Macaca mulatta: one gene and its partners. The protein of the gene in region 1 binds, or shares a complex with, the protein of each later gene. Links are inferred from orthologs where the notes say so. Each region holds a gene or a part of one and is shown on either strand. Other genes may lie near its edges.

The links. Proteins that work in one complex are often made in the same cells at the same time.
Region 2: RIPK1 (region 1) and ZBP1 share a complex: the UniProt entries of both Homo sapiens proteins name them as parts of the AIM2 PANoptosome complex. The link is inferred for Macaca mulatta from reciprocal best matches to the Homo sapiens genes RIPK1 and ZBP1.
Region 3: RIPK1 (region 1) and AIM2 share a complex: the UniProt entries of both Homo sapiens proteins name them as parts of the AIM2 PANoptosome complex. The link is inferred for Macaca mulatta from reciprocal best matches to the Homo sapiens genes RIPK1 and AIM2.

Annotation. Positions count from the first base shown.
Region 1 is NC_133409.1:180,192,504-180,197,689, reverse strand, and holds the start of RIPK1 (receptor-interacting serine/threonine-protein kinase 1), read left to right. Parts: upstream 1-2,152; coding exon 2,153-2,410; exon of another isoform or gene 2,411-2,493; intron 2,494-2,610; exon of another isoform or gene 2,611-2,744; coding exon 2,745-2,760; exon of another isoform or gene 2,761-2,933; intron 2,934-3,140; exon of another isoform or gene 3,141-5,186. Other genes in the region: uncharacterized protein LOC144340588, read right to left, coding at 1,615-2,154. UniProt on the Homo sapiens protein: Serine-threonine kinase which is a key regulator of TNF-mediated apoptosis, necroptosis and inflammatory pathways.
Region 2 is NC_133415.1:110,408,687-110,413,621, forward strand, and holds the end of ZBP1 (Z-DNA-binding protein 1), read right to left. Parts: intron 3,914-4,935; coding exon 3,695-3,913; intron 2,273-3,694; coding exon of another isoform or gene 2,202-2,272; exon of another isoform or gene 1,156-2,201; coding exon 908-1,155; 3' UTR 746-907; downstream 1-745.
Region 3 is NC_133406.1:107,857,612-107,862,137, reverse strand, and holds part of AIM2 (interferon-inducible protein AIM2), read right to left. Parts: exon of another isoform or gene 4,336-4,526; intron 3,745-4,335; coding exon 3,611-3,744; intron 1,363-3,610; coding exon 943-1,362; intron 507-942; exon of another isoform or gene 194-506; intron 1-193. UniProt on the Homo sapiens protein: Sensor component of the AIM2 inflammasome, which mediates inflammasome activation in response to the presence of double-stranded DNA (dsDNA) in the cytosol, leading to subsequent pyroptosis.

The sequences.
Region 1 (5,186 bases):
ATAAAAAGAAATAAAGCCTGATAAATGCTACCTGGAACCATCATGAATGAACCTTTAAAACGTTATGCTAAGTAAAAGAAGCAGTCACAAAAGACCACATATTGTATGGTTCATTTGCATGAAATCCCCAAACTAGGAAAATCCACAGAGACAGAAAATAAATCTATGGTTCCCAGGGGTTGTGGGGAGGAGGAAATGGAGAATAATTGCTAATGGGTATCACAGTTGCTTTTAGGGTGATGAAAATCTTCTGGAGTTAGATAGTAGTAAGAGTTGGATAGCTTCATCAGTATACTAAGAACCACTGTATGCTTTAAAAGGATGAATATTATGGTATGTGCACTGTATTTTAATAAAGGTGTTATTTTATATATTTATTTATTTATTTTTGGGGTGTTTTTTAAAATTTTTTTATTTATTTTTATTTTTTTTGAGACGGAGTCTTGCCCTGTCTCGCCCAGGATGGAGTACAGTGGTGCAATCTCGGCTCACTACAACTTCTGCCTCTGGGTTCAAGTGATTCTCCTGCCTCAGCCTCCTGAGTAGCTGGGTCTACAGGCATGCGCCACCATGCCCGGCTAATTTTTGTATTTTTAGTAGAGACGAGGTTTCACCACGTTGGCCAGGCTGGTCTAGAACTCCTGACATCGTGATCTGCCCACCTTGGCCTCCCAGAATGCTGGGATTACAGGCGTGAACCACCTACCCAACCTTAATAAGGGTGTTAATTAAAAAAACAAGCTAGGCACCTAGGGTATAAAATTGAAGGAGGCTCTGATTCTCAGGGCCACGCAAATGCAGGGCTGGCACCTATGAGTGTGGCCCTCCTGAAATGTTGTGCCTTAGGCACCTGGCTCTCCCTAATTCAGGCCCTCAGGAGAAAGCCCTAATTCTGGTCAGTTCGCAACAGGAGGACACGGCTTCTGGGAGACACTCGGTGCTCCAGAGAGAGGCATTTGGTCCGTTCTCTTCCTCTGGACGTCACCGTGCCGACATGAAATGCTTCCAATTGCGTCCAGCCTAGGATGGAGCGGGGTGGGGGGGATATCTGGTGACATTACGAACTGCTGCATCAACTCCCCCGAGTCCCTGCCTCTGGACCCCCGAGAGAGGACACAAGGAGTGTCCGGAGCCCATGTGACTCAGTGTCTCTTCCCATCACTTCGCGGGAAAATGGGGCTGCTTACACCGCACCGCAGCCCAAGCACCTGTGGCTGGAGAGGGGCTCGGGCGCCAGGAGTGAGGAGCCTGGTTCTGGGCCCGGGACCGGTACTAGTTAGTGGTGGGACCTGGAACAAATGGTACTAGTTAGTGGTGGGACCTGGAACAAATGGTACTAGGTAGTGGTGGGACCTGGAACAAATGGTACTAGTTAGTGGTGGGACCTGGAACTAATGCTTTGCTTCTAAGTGAATCCCTCATATTCATGACAAGAGGCGTGGAACACAGACCCATGGGGCCTTCCCACTGGAACATGGAGCTTGGCTGTCACCCGACTTCGCTTCCTGAGGTAGAAAAGCCCAGGGTTCCAGGCTCTGTCTCCTTTCCCGCAGACCCCTTGTTTCTTGGCGCGGAGGCCCTGGGCCCCGCAGGCTCCCACCCACTTCTCTGGGCTCAGAACTTCTCTGGGTTCAGAACCCGATCCCGAAGCGGCCATGGTGCTGCCGGTGGCCGAGGCCGGGCGCGCGCCTTGGGAACCTGGCTGGCCTCAGGCTGGCGGGAGCATTCGCGGACCTCGCCCTGGGCCGGGAGGACTGGGGGACCCTGGCCTGCCCCTTCCCCTAGCCCTGACCTCGGCCACCACGCGCTGGTCCCGCCAGGCTCCGCCTGAAGGCAGAAAGCGGGGCGGGGGGGGGGGGGCGCCCGATCCTGCGGTATAAAAGCGGTGTCCGCAAAGGCCCTAGTGGGAGTCCGCGGCGAGCGCAGCAGCAGGGCCGGGTCCTGCGCCTCCGGGATCGGCGTCCAGGCTCGGAGCGCGGCACGGAAACGGCGGCGGCGCTGGACCAGGCGGTAGGTGCGGGCGTCCCCGCGCAGGGCGCTGCGGGTGGCGAGGCTGGGTGCGCGCCTCGGGAACCTGGCTGACCTCAGACCGGCGGGAACATTCGCGGACTTCGCCCTGGGCGGGGCGAACTGGGGGGACCCTGACCTTCCCATGTTCCTAGCCCTGCCCTCCGCCACCGCGCGAACGCGCGCGCCTCCCAGGATAGTCCCGGCAGGCGCAGCCCCAGTCAGGCGGCTTGTCAAGTATGGGAGGAGCCTAACAATCCCAGACAGTTTAAAAGGCGGTGCCCGCCAAGGCCCGAGCGGGAGTCCGCGGCGACAGCAGCAGCAGCAGCAGCAGCAGAGTCACGTCTTGGGCCCTGGGGATCGGCGTCCAGGCTCGGAGCGCGGCACGGAGACGAGGTGGCAGGTGAGGGCGTCCCCGCGCTGGGCCGGGGTCGGGAACGGGAATGGCGAGCTTCAGGTCCCCCGGCTGCCACCGAAAGATGAGACCTGAGGACAGGAGAGGTCGCTCATCCAAGAGCCCCGGGGAAGCGGTGGTGTCTCGGCGGGTCAGGAACGGTCTCTGGGGGGTCCCCTGCAGCGCGCAGCCGGTTTCCGCCTCCGCAGCTCCCCGCCAGCGCGGACGCCGCCCTCCCCCACGCCTCCTCGCTGCCCTTCTCTGGCCGAAGCTCTCCCCTGCAGCCCCTCCCCACCTGCCAGCCCTGTTTTCTCACTGCTCCTCTCTGCTCTGGGATCCGCAGGATGACGTCTGTCCCGGTACTTCTCTTTCAAAGTCACCAGTCTCCAGTTCCAAATCCGAGCACTCTTACCCATCCTAATTCTTTCAATAATTCAGCGAAACGGATGGGGCCCGTCCTTCCCCGGAGCATATTTCCAGGGACTGTGAATCCGCGAAGCCAGGCTCAGCCGTCGCCTGCAGGGCCTGCGGTCTGTGGGGACCGCCAGCAAGATGAGGAGTCACCTTCGGGACGAACGGTCGTGCTGGGGAGGGTTGCGCCGGCGGGGTCAAGGGAACCTCCTTTAGGGTGGGAATCAAGCCTCCAGGCCGCGGTGTTTGAGGGTGAGTAGAATTAATCCCGTGATGGACATGGGGCCTTGTAAGGGGGACCAGGAGTTTGTGAAGAGGTGACTTTGGGAGGGGTTCAGGATGGCCAGAGGTGGAGGCTGTGACCTGAGCGAGGCTGGATCAAGGGAGGGGGCAGGTGGAGAAGAAACCGTTTTAACAAGGTGGCTTTGAGCGGATCCTAAGGGTTCTGGGAGATTTAGGAGGAAGGCCAAGAGGATTAAGACACCGCTTTCTGAGGATGTTGTGTGGCTGTGGCATGGTGGTGGCTGAGGGAAGCGGGTTGTCTTCATTGTCCAAGGCTCTCCAGTGCTTTGCGTGGCGTTTTGGGGAGCACACATGAGGTGTCCCGACAGTGAGGAGTGGCTCTAAGGTGAGCAGAGGCTCGGGAGGGGGCCTGCGCATTAGGCCAGGCACAGGATCCGAAGTGGAAAGAAATGTGGGCGAAATGTGGGCGTAGAGGGCAGGCCTTGGGGATGGGTGTGGGGGACGAGGGGGATGGAAAGGGGTCAGGGAGGTCTCCCAGGCTCACCTGGAGGAGTGAGGGTCTCATTTCCAAGGGCACTGGGAACTGCAGCCTGGGGGTGGGGGTTCATTTGGTTTCAGACCTGTGGCGAAGAGACCCACCCCCTCACATTCACACTTTGGCTTCCACTAGCTTCAGAGGTAGTACTAGCTCTTTGTTCTCGCTGGTTTTCCTTCCTCACCTTGGGCTGTTTCTTGCCTTTTCCATTCTGGTGTTCTGCAAGGACCAGTTCCTTCGTCTCATGTACCATCTACACTCATGGCTTTTGCTGGGAGTAATGAGTAAAGCTCCCAAATAGATGTTTCTGAGTTAGAGCACTGAAAACAAAATGAAGCAAAAACAATGCATTTCCAATCTTCCAAGATCACATGATGTCCAGAGGACAGTGATGGGCAATGACTTTTTGTCTTCCCCATTAGAATGCAAGTTCCACAAATGGAACACGGAGATTTTTATTTATTTATCCTTTTTTTTTTTTGAGACGGAGTCTTGCTCTGTCACCCAGGCTGGAGTGCAGTGGTGCAATCTTGGCTCACAGCAACCTCCACCTTCTGGGTTCAAGCAATTCTCCCACCTCAGCCTCCTGAGTAGGTGGGTCTACAGGTGTGCGCCACCACGCCCAGCTAATTTTTGTATTTTTAGCTTCATCATGTTTGCCAGGCTGGTCCGTAACCCCTGAGCTCAGGCAATCCACCCGACTGAGCCTCCCGAAGTGCTAGGATTACAGGTGGGAGCCACTCCACACAGCCAGAACAGAGATTTTTTATGTTTAATTCACAACCGAGGCTTCACTGCCTAGAACAGATGCTCAGTAAATATTTATTGAAGGAATGAATTCCTTTTTGTATCTCTTGTATCTATCACCAGATACTCTTGTATCTAGTACCTATTTGGCATACAGTAGAAAGCTTTGTTGAGTGAATAGCTCTGCCTTTCGTCTTTTTTGGTATGTATACATCTTTTAAAAAATAATGAATAGACTTTTAGAGCTGTTTTAGTTTACAGCAAAACAAAGCAGAAAGAAAATATCCCCTCCCACAAACATCCTGGACTGTATAGCCTCCCCTACCATCAACATCCTGCATTAGTGTGGGGTATTTGTTACACCTGATGAACCAACATAGATACACGGTTATAAAAATGAACCAATATGGATAAAACATATACATTATCAGTCAAAGTCCAGAGCTTGTTAGGTTTTGCTCTTTGTGTATATTCAAGATACATTTGACAAATGTATAATGAGATGTACCCAACACTGTAATATCAGATTCCACTGCCCTAAAAATCCCTTGTGCTCCACCTACCTATCCCTCCTTCCCTGCAAATCCCTGGCAACCACTAATCTTTTTTACTATCTCCACAGTTTTTCCTTTTCCAGAATGTCACATAGTTGGAATCATACATTATGTAGTCTTCTCAGATTGGCTTCTTTCACTTAGATTTATACATTTAAGATTGCTCCAGAATTTTTTTTTTTGTGGCTTCAGAGCTCATTTCTTTTGAGCCTTAATATTCCATTGTATAGATGTGCCACAGCTTATCTGTCCACCTATTAAATGACATCTTAGATGCCCTGAAGTTTTGGCAATT
Region 2 (4,935 bases), on another chromosome or scaffold:
GTGATGAGAAAGTGAACCAGCCTTGCAGCTGGTGTGGAGAAAGTTTTAGTGGTCTGGATGGAGGATTGACCAGCCACAATAGTCTCTGAAGCCTATACCTCATCCAGGGCAAGGCCCTTGCTCTATTCAATTCTAAAGGCTGAGAGAAGTGAGGAAGCTGCAGAAGAAAAGTTGGAAGTAAGCAGAGGTTGGTTCATGAGGTTTAAGGAAAGAAGCCATCCCCATAACGTGAAAGTACAAGGTGAGGCAGCACGTGCTAATGGAGAAGCTGCAGCAGGTTACCCGGAAGCTCTAGCTAAGATCATTGATGAGCACGACTGCATGACAGAGCAGGTTCTCAATGTAGACGAAACAGCCTTCTATTGAGAAAAGATATCATCTAGAACTTTCATAGCTCGAGAGGAGATGTCAATGCCTGACTTCAAAGCTTCAAAGGGGCAGGCTCTCTTGTTGGGGACTAATGCAGCTGGTGACTTTCAGCTGAAGCCTTTCCTCAGTTACCATTTTGGAAATTCTAGGGCCCTTAAGAACGATGCTAAATCGACTCTGCCTGTGTTCTGTGAATGAAGCAACAAAGCTAGATGACAGCACCTCTGTTTATAGCATGGTTTACTGAATATTTTAAGCCTAGCATTGAGACTTACTGCTCAGAAAAAAATATTCCTTTGAACATTTTACTGCTCATCGTCCATACCACAGGAGCTGGGTGTTCAGGATCCTGGGCTAAAGGCCAAAAAAAAAAAAGTTTGTTTGTTTGTTTGTTTGTTTGTTTTTTTCCTGCTCATTGACAATGCACCTGTTCATCCAAGGGCTCTGATGGAGATGTAAAAAAGAGTTAATGTTGTTTTCATGCCTGCTAGCACAGCATCCATTCTGCAGCCCACGGATTAAGGAGTAACTTCAACATTCACTTCTTATTCTTCAATAAATACATTTTACAAAGGCATAAGTGCAATACAGAGTGATTCCTCAGATGGATCTGGGCAAAGTAAATTGAAAATTGTCTGGAAAAAATCATCAATCTAAATGCCATTAAGAACACTTGTGATTCACGGGAGAAGGTCAAAATATCAACATTCACAGGAGTCTGGAAGAAGTTGATTCCAACTTTCATGAATGACTTTGAGGGGTTCAAGACTTCAGTGAAGACAGCAACTGCAGATGTGGTGGAAATAGGAGGAAAACTCGAATTAGAAATGGAATATGAAGATGGGACCGAATTGCCGCAATCTCATGAGAAAGCTTGAACAGATGAGTTGCTTCTTACGGATGAGCAAAGAAAGTGGTTTCTTGAGATGGAATCTATTCCTGGTGAAGATACTGCGAACATTGTTGAAATGACAACAAAGGATTTAGACTGTTATATAAACCGAGTTGGTAAAGCAGCAGCAGGGTTGGTGGGCTTGGTTCCAATTTTGAAAGAAGTTCTAGTATGAGTAAAATGCCATCAAACAGCATTGCATGCTACAGAGAAAGCTTTCGTGAAAGGGAGAGTCCATTGCTGCAGTGGACTTCATTGTTGGACTTCATTTTAAGAAATTGCCACAGCTGCCTCAACCTTCAGTAACTGCCACCCTGATCAGTCAGCAGCCATCAACATCGAGGCAAGACCTCCACCAGCATAGAGAAGATGACTGGCAGAAGACAGATGATGTTTAGCACTTTTAGCAATAAGGTATTTTCACATTAAGGTATATACATTGTTTTTTAGATACAATGTGATTGAGTGCATACCTAATAGACTACAGCCTCGTGTGACTATAACTTGTATGTGCACTGGGAAATCAAACATTTGCATGACTTGCTTTATTGGGGTGGTCTGGAGCTGACCCATAATATCTCTGAGCTATGCCTATAGATGTCTCTTGGCGACAAAGAGAGGTGGGTGGGTCAGGACAAGGGGTAAGAATGTCATCAGCTCCTCTGCTGGAACCTCAGAGAAGAATGTCAGGATGTGGCAGGACAAATTTGGGCGTGTGGTCATTTTTTAACAACACAGAGCTGTGTTCTTTCCAGAAAAAGGAGTCTTCAGTGGTCTGGCTTGAGACCCACAGGGTTCTGCAGACGGCCTGTGCTGTGGGGTCCTAAGCCAGGTGGGGGATGGAGGACTGGTGGCACACGCCCTCCTGGGGGTGCCCAGTGGCCTTGGAGGTTTCTGAGACTCCCTTTGCTGCTGGAAGGGAGTCCGTGCTCCCAGATGCTCATGGCCTGTGCTCCTGGCCTGTGCTCCTGGCCCCCGTTCCGCAGGTGTCACATGGGGCTCCCAGGGGTCCTGGAGGGAGAGTTTGAAGGCAAGGCACGTGGGGCCAGGGTCTCCTCAGTGTGCCGGGACAGCAAGGACATGGCCCTTGGGGTGAGGAGAGCCTCTGGACTTCCAGGACATGCGTCCCCTGGGCCTTCAGGCACTGGAAGGTGGATGCTGGCCAATCCTCCAGATTCTGTGAATCCACGTTTTCTACCCACTGGTGGGATTGGGTGTGACCCCTTATTCCAGATCCCAAAAGGGTAGGAGTGCAAATCCTCCTTCTAATTCTTTCTTCATATGGGAGGCATAAATCTCATCCTGCCCCTCTCCTGCTTAAGGCCCCCATGGCTCCCAGTTGCCTTAGCATCAACTGCCGCCTGGAGCTAGACCCTGGCTCTGCTCTCCACACTCAGGTCACCCTCAGACCCCTGTGGGTTCCTGTACTGTCATGTCCTCACCTCCAGGCCATTGTCCACACTGTTCCACCCACCAGGTACACCTGCCCTGTATGGATCCACCTTGTATGGACCTGCCCTATTCTCCAGCTGCCCCTACCCCAGGCCCCGAGCTCCCTTCTGCAGAGTTGGGATCCTCGGGCTCTGCAACCAGCCTGTGCAGCTTCCAGGGGCAGAACTGTGGCTGGGAAGGTGAACCGCGCTGGTGTCCCCTCTCCCCTCTTCCTGTTGGCAGTGGAGCCCCTCCCCTCAGTCTCTGCTGAGCTTAGGCTGCCTCGACACAGGCGGCACTTCCCAGATCCCCCGTGGCTAAGTGCTGGCCCTCGGAACAGCGCAGATGCGGTGGGTGGGCTTGGTCAAAGACAACAGCGGCTCTCTGTACCCTGTCTTGCCCCTCTGCTTGCTGGTGCCAAGTTCAACCCCACAGATGAGGATAGAGCCCCAGGGACAACTCATCCCTGAGGGAAAAGAATCCCTGGTCTGCTACCCTCACCCAGACATGAGACCTGGGCTTCGAGCAGGCGGGGCCACCATGTGTGGCGTCTCTGCTGCGGCAGGTCAGCCTGTGCCCTGATGCAGAACCTTATTTGCATGGCAACCCAGCACCTTTCTGGGCCCAAAACAATCATGACAGCAATAACACTCCTATCTCCTGAATGCTGGCAGGGCTGGTGCAGGGCTGAGCTCTGCCTTCAGATTTTATCTCAGCCTTGCAACCACTGTAGGGGTTGCTTCAGGCTATTCTTACCATCCCACTTTCCAGCTAAGGAGACAGAGGCTCCCGGGTGAAGTGACTTGGGTGGGCCCCTCCACTAGGCGGACGGAGCCTCGAGCTCTGACTGTAGAGCTGCTGCTCCTCGCTATGGGTGAGCATTGCCTCCAGACTCTGGGAAACCAGAGATTAGCGAATGATTGATGAGAATGAATGAATGAATGAGTGGAAGGTGGGGAGAGAAAGAGAACACACAGGGGTCCACTCGGTACCCCAGCTCACCTGCGTCCTCCCTTGGCTGCCTGTCTCCAGACCCTGCGACTCCTCCTGGGCCAGCCACCCCTGGGCTGATAGACATTTTGTTGCTGTTGCCGATGGTGGCATCCTCGAGAAAGCATGATTTCATGTAGATTCTCTGGGCGGCATCCCCCTTGGGGTGAATTCTTGGACTGGGCATTCTTGCTTCAAACAAAGCTTCTGGGCCGGCAGCAGTGGCAGAGACTGTGGGTCAAAGGGAGACAGGCCTGGAGCCAGGAGCAGCTGGATAGTGGCCCGGAGCCCTGACCCCCAGACTGACTCACCCTCCTCCCCAGACCTCCCACCAGCGGCCCACACCATCCCAGGCGCACAGCCTGTGCCTGCCCACCACACCTCCACACGTGCTGTTGGGCTGCCTGGGAAGCGTCTTTCCACCAGCTGGTGGGTCTGCCCCACTGATCCTGCCCAGCTGATCTGGACGCCAGTGTCTTCTGGGATTCAGCTCCTCTCTCCTCTGCTGCCTGCTTCCCACTGCACTGGAACACTGGCCCCCACTTTTGGTTGAAATCTTATGGGGGCTCCCAGCCTGGCCCCAGCCCCTGTCATCTGGCTCTGCCCTTTCCCACCCAAACTTCTGAAGAACCATCCACACTGAGTCTCACCTCCTCCACTCCCCAGACCCCTTCTGCTCCCTGGTTCCCAGAAACCACCCCCGCAAGGTCACCACGACCCCTCTCGCTGAACCCCACAGATGCTTCCCTGGGCTCGCCAGCCTGGCCGCTCTCTGGTGACTCCTTTCCCGGGGCCTCTGCTTTCCTCCTCCCTCTCTGGCTTCCCTGCTGGTTCTTCTCCCCCAGCCCATCTCTGCATTCCCACTGCGGGGGAGGCCTTTGCCCGGGGCCCTCTGGTCACTGCAGCCACAGCACCTAGTAGGGCACCTGTCTTCCAACCTCCCTAAACACCATTCCAGTATCAAACCATCACCCTACTCCAGCTGGCCCAGCCTCTGCTTCTCTGCCCATTTTACAAATGGGGAAACTGAGGTTTCCTGCAGTGGGTTGTAGGGGATGGGGATCCAGAGGGCTAGCTTTATTTTATTTATTTATTTATTGAGATGGAGTCTCACTCTGTCACTCAGACTGGAGTGCAGTGGTGCGATCTCCGTTCACTGCAACCTCTGCCTCCCAGGTTGAAGCAATTCTCCTATCTCAGCCTTCTGAGTGGCTGGGATTGCAGGCACATGTCACCATGCCCAGTACTTTTTT
Region 3 (4,526 bases), on another chromosome or scaffold:
GAGTCTTCCTATCAATTCCTTCTAAAACTAACCCAGGGCAGCAGAGGTTATTCTGAGGCTCTGAATGCAGGGGCAGCAGGTTCCCTCTCTACGGTTCTTCAGGTCCTGCCCTAGACCAGAAAAAGTCATTCCACAAGGCTAGTTCCCTGAAGCTCAGAGTCATAATACTTTATTATTTCTCACTTCTAATAAGTCTCCTCGAGGAGTGCCTCTGCCCGGCCACCCCACCGTCTGAGAAGTGAAGAGGGCCTCTGCCCGGCCGCCCCACCGTCTGGGAAGTGAAGAGGGCCTCTGCCCGGCCGCCCCACCGTCTGAGAAGTGAAGAGGGCCTCTGCCCGGCCGCCCCACCGTCTGGGAAGTGAGGAGCGCCAGCCGCTGTGGAACCTTCCAAGTGTGAAGTGATAGCCTTGTATGTGATCTTTTCTGTCTTCCCCAAGTTTGCATTTTCGACATTAAAGTTTACTTTTAATTAAAAAGAAAGAAATAAATAAGTCTCCTCAAGCTAACTCTTTCTTCTGTTTTCTTCATTTAATCACAGTTCTTTAATCCTGACTTGCATATTGGTTTTTCAGGTCAATTAATTTGGTTGATTACTCAACTACACTTATTTTGCAATCACAACAATAGTCACTTAAAATAAAGATAATATGGACAAAGTACAAAAATAACGCAGAAATAAAAACTATGTGAACGAACTAATTCCTTTTTCAGAGGCTACTGGGATAAGAATAAGTTGAAACAGGATTGTGACATTTTTGACAATAAAAACAATTTTTGAGTTTTCGTATGAATTTTGGCATGTTAACTCTGCAGCTCTTTAGAACTTTGTATTTTTTTATTTTGTCTGTATAGACATTAACACCTTTTCTAAAGTCTCTTTAAGATCAGATGGAAAATACGTTATTCTTACTAATCAATATGAAATTAGCTATGAAAACTTACCTTCTGGACTACAAACAACCCATTCACAATTGTTCCAAGGGGCTGAGTTTGAAGCGTGTTGATCTTTGGGGTTTCACCAGCTTTTCTGATAATGTTCAGCGGGACATCAACCTTTTGGTCAGATTTAGCATCTAACACACATGAGGCGCTATTTACCTCTAAGAAACCACTGTGCTGATAATATCTTGATATTATAATCATTCTCTTTGGAATGAATTTATCTTTCAGCAGTGTATTAAAAACTTTTACAAAGAAGAATTCCTTCTCTGTAGCCACCGTAGCATGAAACATCTCTTGCTTGCCTTCTTGGGTCTCAAACGTGAAGGGCTTTGTTGCTTTCAGTACCATAACTGGCAAACAGTCTTTCCGAAACTCTTCTCTGATAGATTCCTGCTGGGCCACCCTCTGTTTCTGCTCAGGCTGAAGACAAGAGAAGAAAGATATCAGCTGTGAGTCAAAAAGGTACTATTGAGAGGACCTTCCTTCACCCACAGTGCTAAGCCTCAGGAAGCCACAGAAGACAGGTGGAATCAAGGGAAGAGACACAGAGGGGATAAGAAGAGACTTGAGGCCTAGAATGATCTAGATGGAACAGAGAGTGCAGAAGGAAGATTTCAACTCCTGTATTCAGATAAGACGGTGTAACATGTTTTGGAGGAAGGATCCCTAAAACCAAATCCTTGCTTTGCCATGTGCTATATAAAAAGACTTCATCAGATTTCTGAAATATTGCTAAGCCTCGGGGTAAATCTGATAAATCTGATTCCATCTTCTATGGATTCCATTCGGGCATAATATATCCTTGTTTCTCTATCCAACACTGTCCTAAACATTCATTTTACTCTGGTATAAAAGTGAGAGAGCTCAGTGACCTGCACAGGGTTCCCCAAATTCCTAGGGAGGTATTGTACGTAACAAAATGTAGACTATGTTTAATGTGAGTTAAGGGGGAGACCTAGGTCAGAGATCTTACAAGTGAGTTAAAGGAGAAATTTAAAAGGAGAATTGATACTACATTTGTGGATTTACCCTTAAATAATGAATTATGCACTAAGGTTTACATTTTAAAAATATATCTTATTATTTGAAATTATAAAAAAAGAAATAATTTAAATACATAAAAAATAGAATTTGGTTAAACAAAATATGGTATAGTCACAAATAGATTACTATGCAAATATTAAAAATGCTTTAGAGAAATAATGTGATAAACTGTTATAACTGACTCAATAAAGGGAAAGGTCCTAAACAGATAAAAAATCTCTTTCTTTTTGGATAAATAAGCAGTTAAAGCACACACACAAACACACTACAGAGATATTTACCAACATCAATATTTTTTTCCTAGATGATACAATTATAGGTAATTTTATTCGCTTCTCTGTGTTTTTTATTTTTCTGAATTAACAGAGATAAGATACCTTTTTTGGTTTGTTTTGGGAGAAAATACTACTTTTTAAAAGCAACTTGCCATCTAGAACCAAATGGAAATACAGGGAAAAACAAACAGAGGCATAAAAAGTCAAGTGTAGGAGTCTCGAAGGCTGTCTCCGATGTGACCTGAAGCTTGGGCCAGTGGAGCTGGGGCCAGTAAGGGGCCCTGACGGGCAGTATAACTGACTGCATTTGGATCAATGCAGGTAAAGGTCAGTTCCACTGAGTTCCACTACAAAAGTCCTCTTTGGTCCATGTATCTTTAGTTGAGTCTTCCAGACTGAATGATGCATATTTTCATTACTGGTGATGGAATCACACCATGTATACTTGAACCTTGTTTTCTGAAAAATCCAGAAGTTTCTGGGCCAAACCCAGAGGAAATGGCTCCTCTAGACAAAGAGAATGAAGTATGTGTAATCAGTTTCTAGAGCTCACACAGCTATAAAATGGTGTAACACCTGCTTCACAGGAAATGAAATTGCATGTGTGGTGGATTCTGTGTTGGGCCTTTCCGATATTGCCTGCCGCTCCCTCAGGACTAAAGTAATCATTCTCATCAATGAGACTCTTCAGGCACTACTCTCTCAGCTAAACAGGGCCACCTCACCTTGTCCATGCAGGTGTATAAAGGGCTTTTTTACATTACTTTTAAAAAGCAATTTGCTGTCAAGAACTAAGGGAAAATACAGGGGAAAACAAACAGAGGCATGCCAGGCCGAGTGTAAGAGTCTCTGCAATAGATCTCTGATGTGACCCAGAGCCTGGGTCTGTGCAAACCACAGACTCCCCCACCAGTCTTGGGAGCCCTGAAGGGCATTCTCAGCTCCCGAGCTCCCTGTGGGGTAGGCCAAGGCCTCTATTGCAACTATATTGGACTTGACATTCTTCCTCTTCTACTCCTTTCACTTCCTCACAGATACTAATTCTGAAAGTGCTCTAAAATAGACTTCCTGTAAACAACTGTCTATCTCAGAGTTTTCGTCTTATAGAATCCAAACCATAACAGAGTGTTAATGTGTCCAGGCCCTGACAGAGATTAGAAGCTCAACAGGTGTTTAATCTGATTAATCAGAGGTAGTTCCTGTTTTTGTGACTCAGAGTGCTTTTCACACTGTGGCCTTAATTCCCTTATTTGCATGCTCTGAGATAAAGAACAGAGAACAATGTGGGAAATGACAGTGACAGTGATGCTCTTACAAGGACAAAGACCACTCCACTCTCCTCATCCTACCTTAACATGAGGAGAGACTTTTGGTGCAGCACGTTGCTTTGTGACATCATTTCTGACGGCTGCAGGTGCAGCAGGACTCATTTCAGGTTGACTTAGTGGCTTTGGTTTTGTTACCGATTTGTATTCCTTATCAACTGATTAAAAAATGGAAGACATGGCCAATAAGCATATAAACATATGAGCAGTGCACATTTTCAAATGTCACCAGAAATAAATACTAAAACCATATTAAGATATCTTCAAGAGCAGTTAATTTTTCTAAAAAAAAAAAAAAAAAAAAAAATCTTGTTTTAAAATGAAAGAAACTGGACCTGGCACAGACACCTGTAATCCCAGCACTTTGGGAGGCCAAGGCTGGAGGATCAACCCGAGGCCAGGAGTTTGAGACCAGCTTAGTCAACATAGGGAGACCCTATCTTTATAAAAAATATTTTCAAAATTAGCCAGGTGCAATGTCACATGTTTTCAGTCTCAGCTACTTGGGAGGGTGAGGCAGGAGGATAACTTAAGCCCAGGAGTTCAAAGCTGCAGTGAGTCGTGATCACACCACTGCACTCCAGCTTGGATGACACAGTGAGACCTTGTCTGTCTCAAAAAAAAAAAAAACAAAAAACAAAAACAAAAGACAAAAAACAAAAGAAACTATGAAGTCTTAGTCTTAAATCGGTATAACACTTTGGAAAATGGTTTGGGACTCTATTTATTGAAATTCAATATCTACTTACCTTAACATCCAGTAATTCCATTCACAGGTGTACAGTCAAGAGAAACACACATACAAATACAAACATACAAAGATAAGTACATAAGGCTTATAATAAATATTCATAGCAGCATTTTTCACAATGGCCTCAAATGACTAAAATAACAATAAAAAATAGACCAATTCTCTCTCTATATATGTATATGTATATGA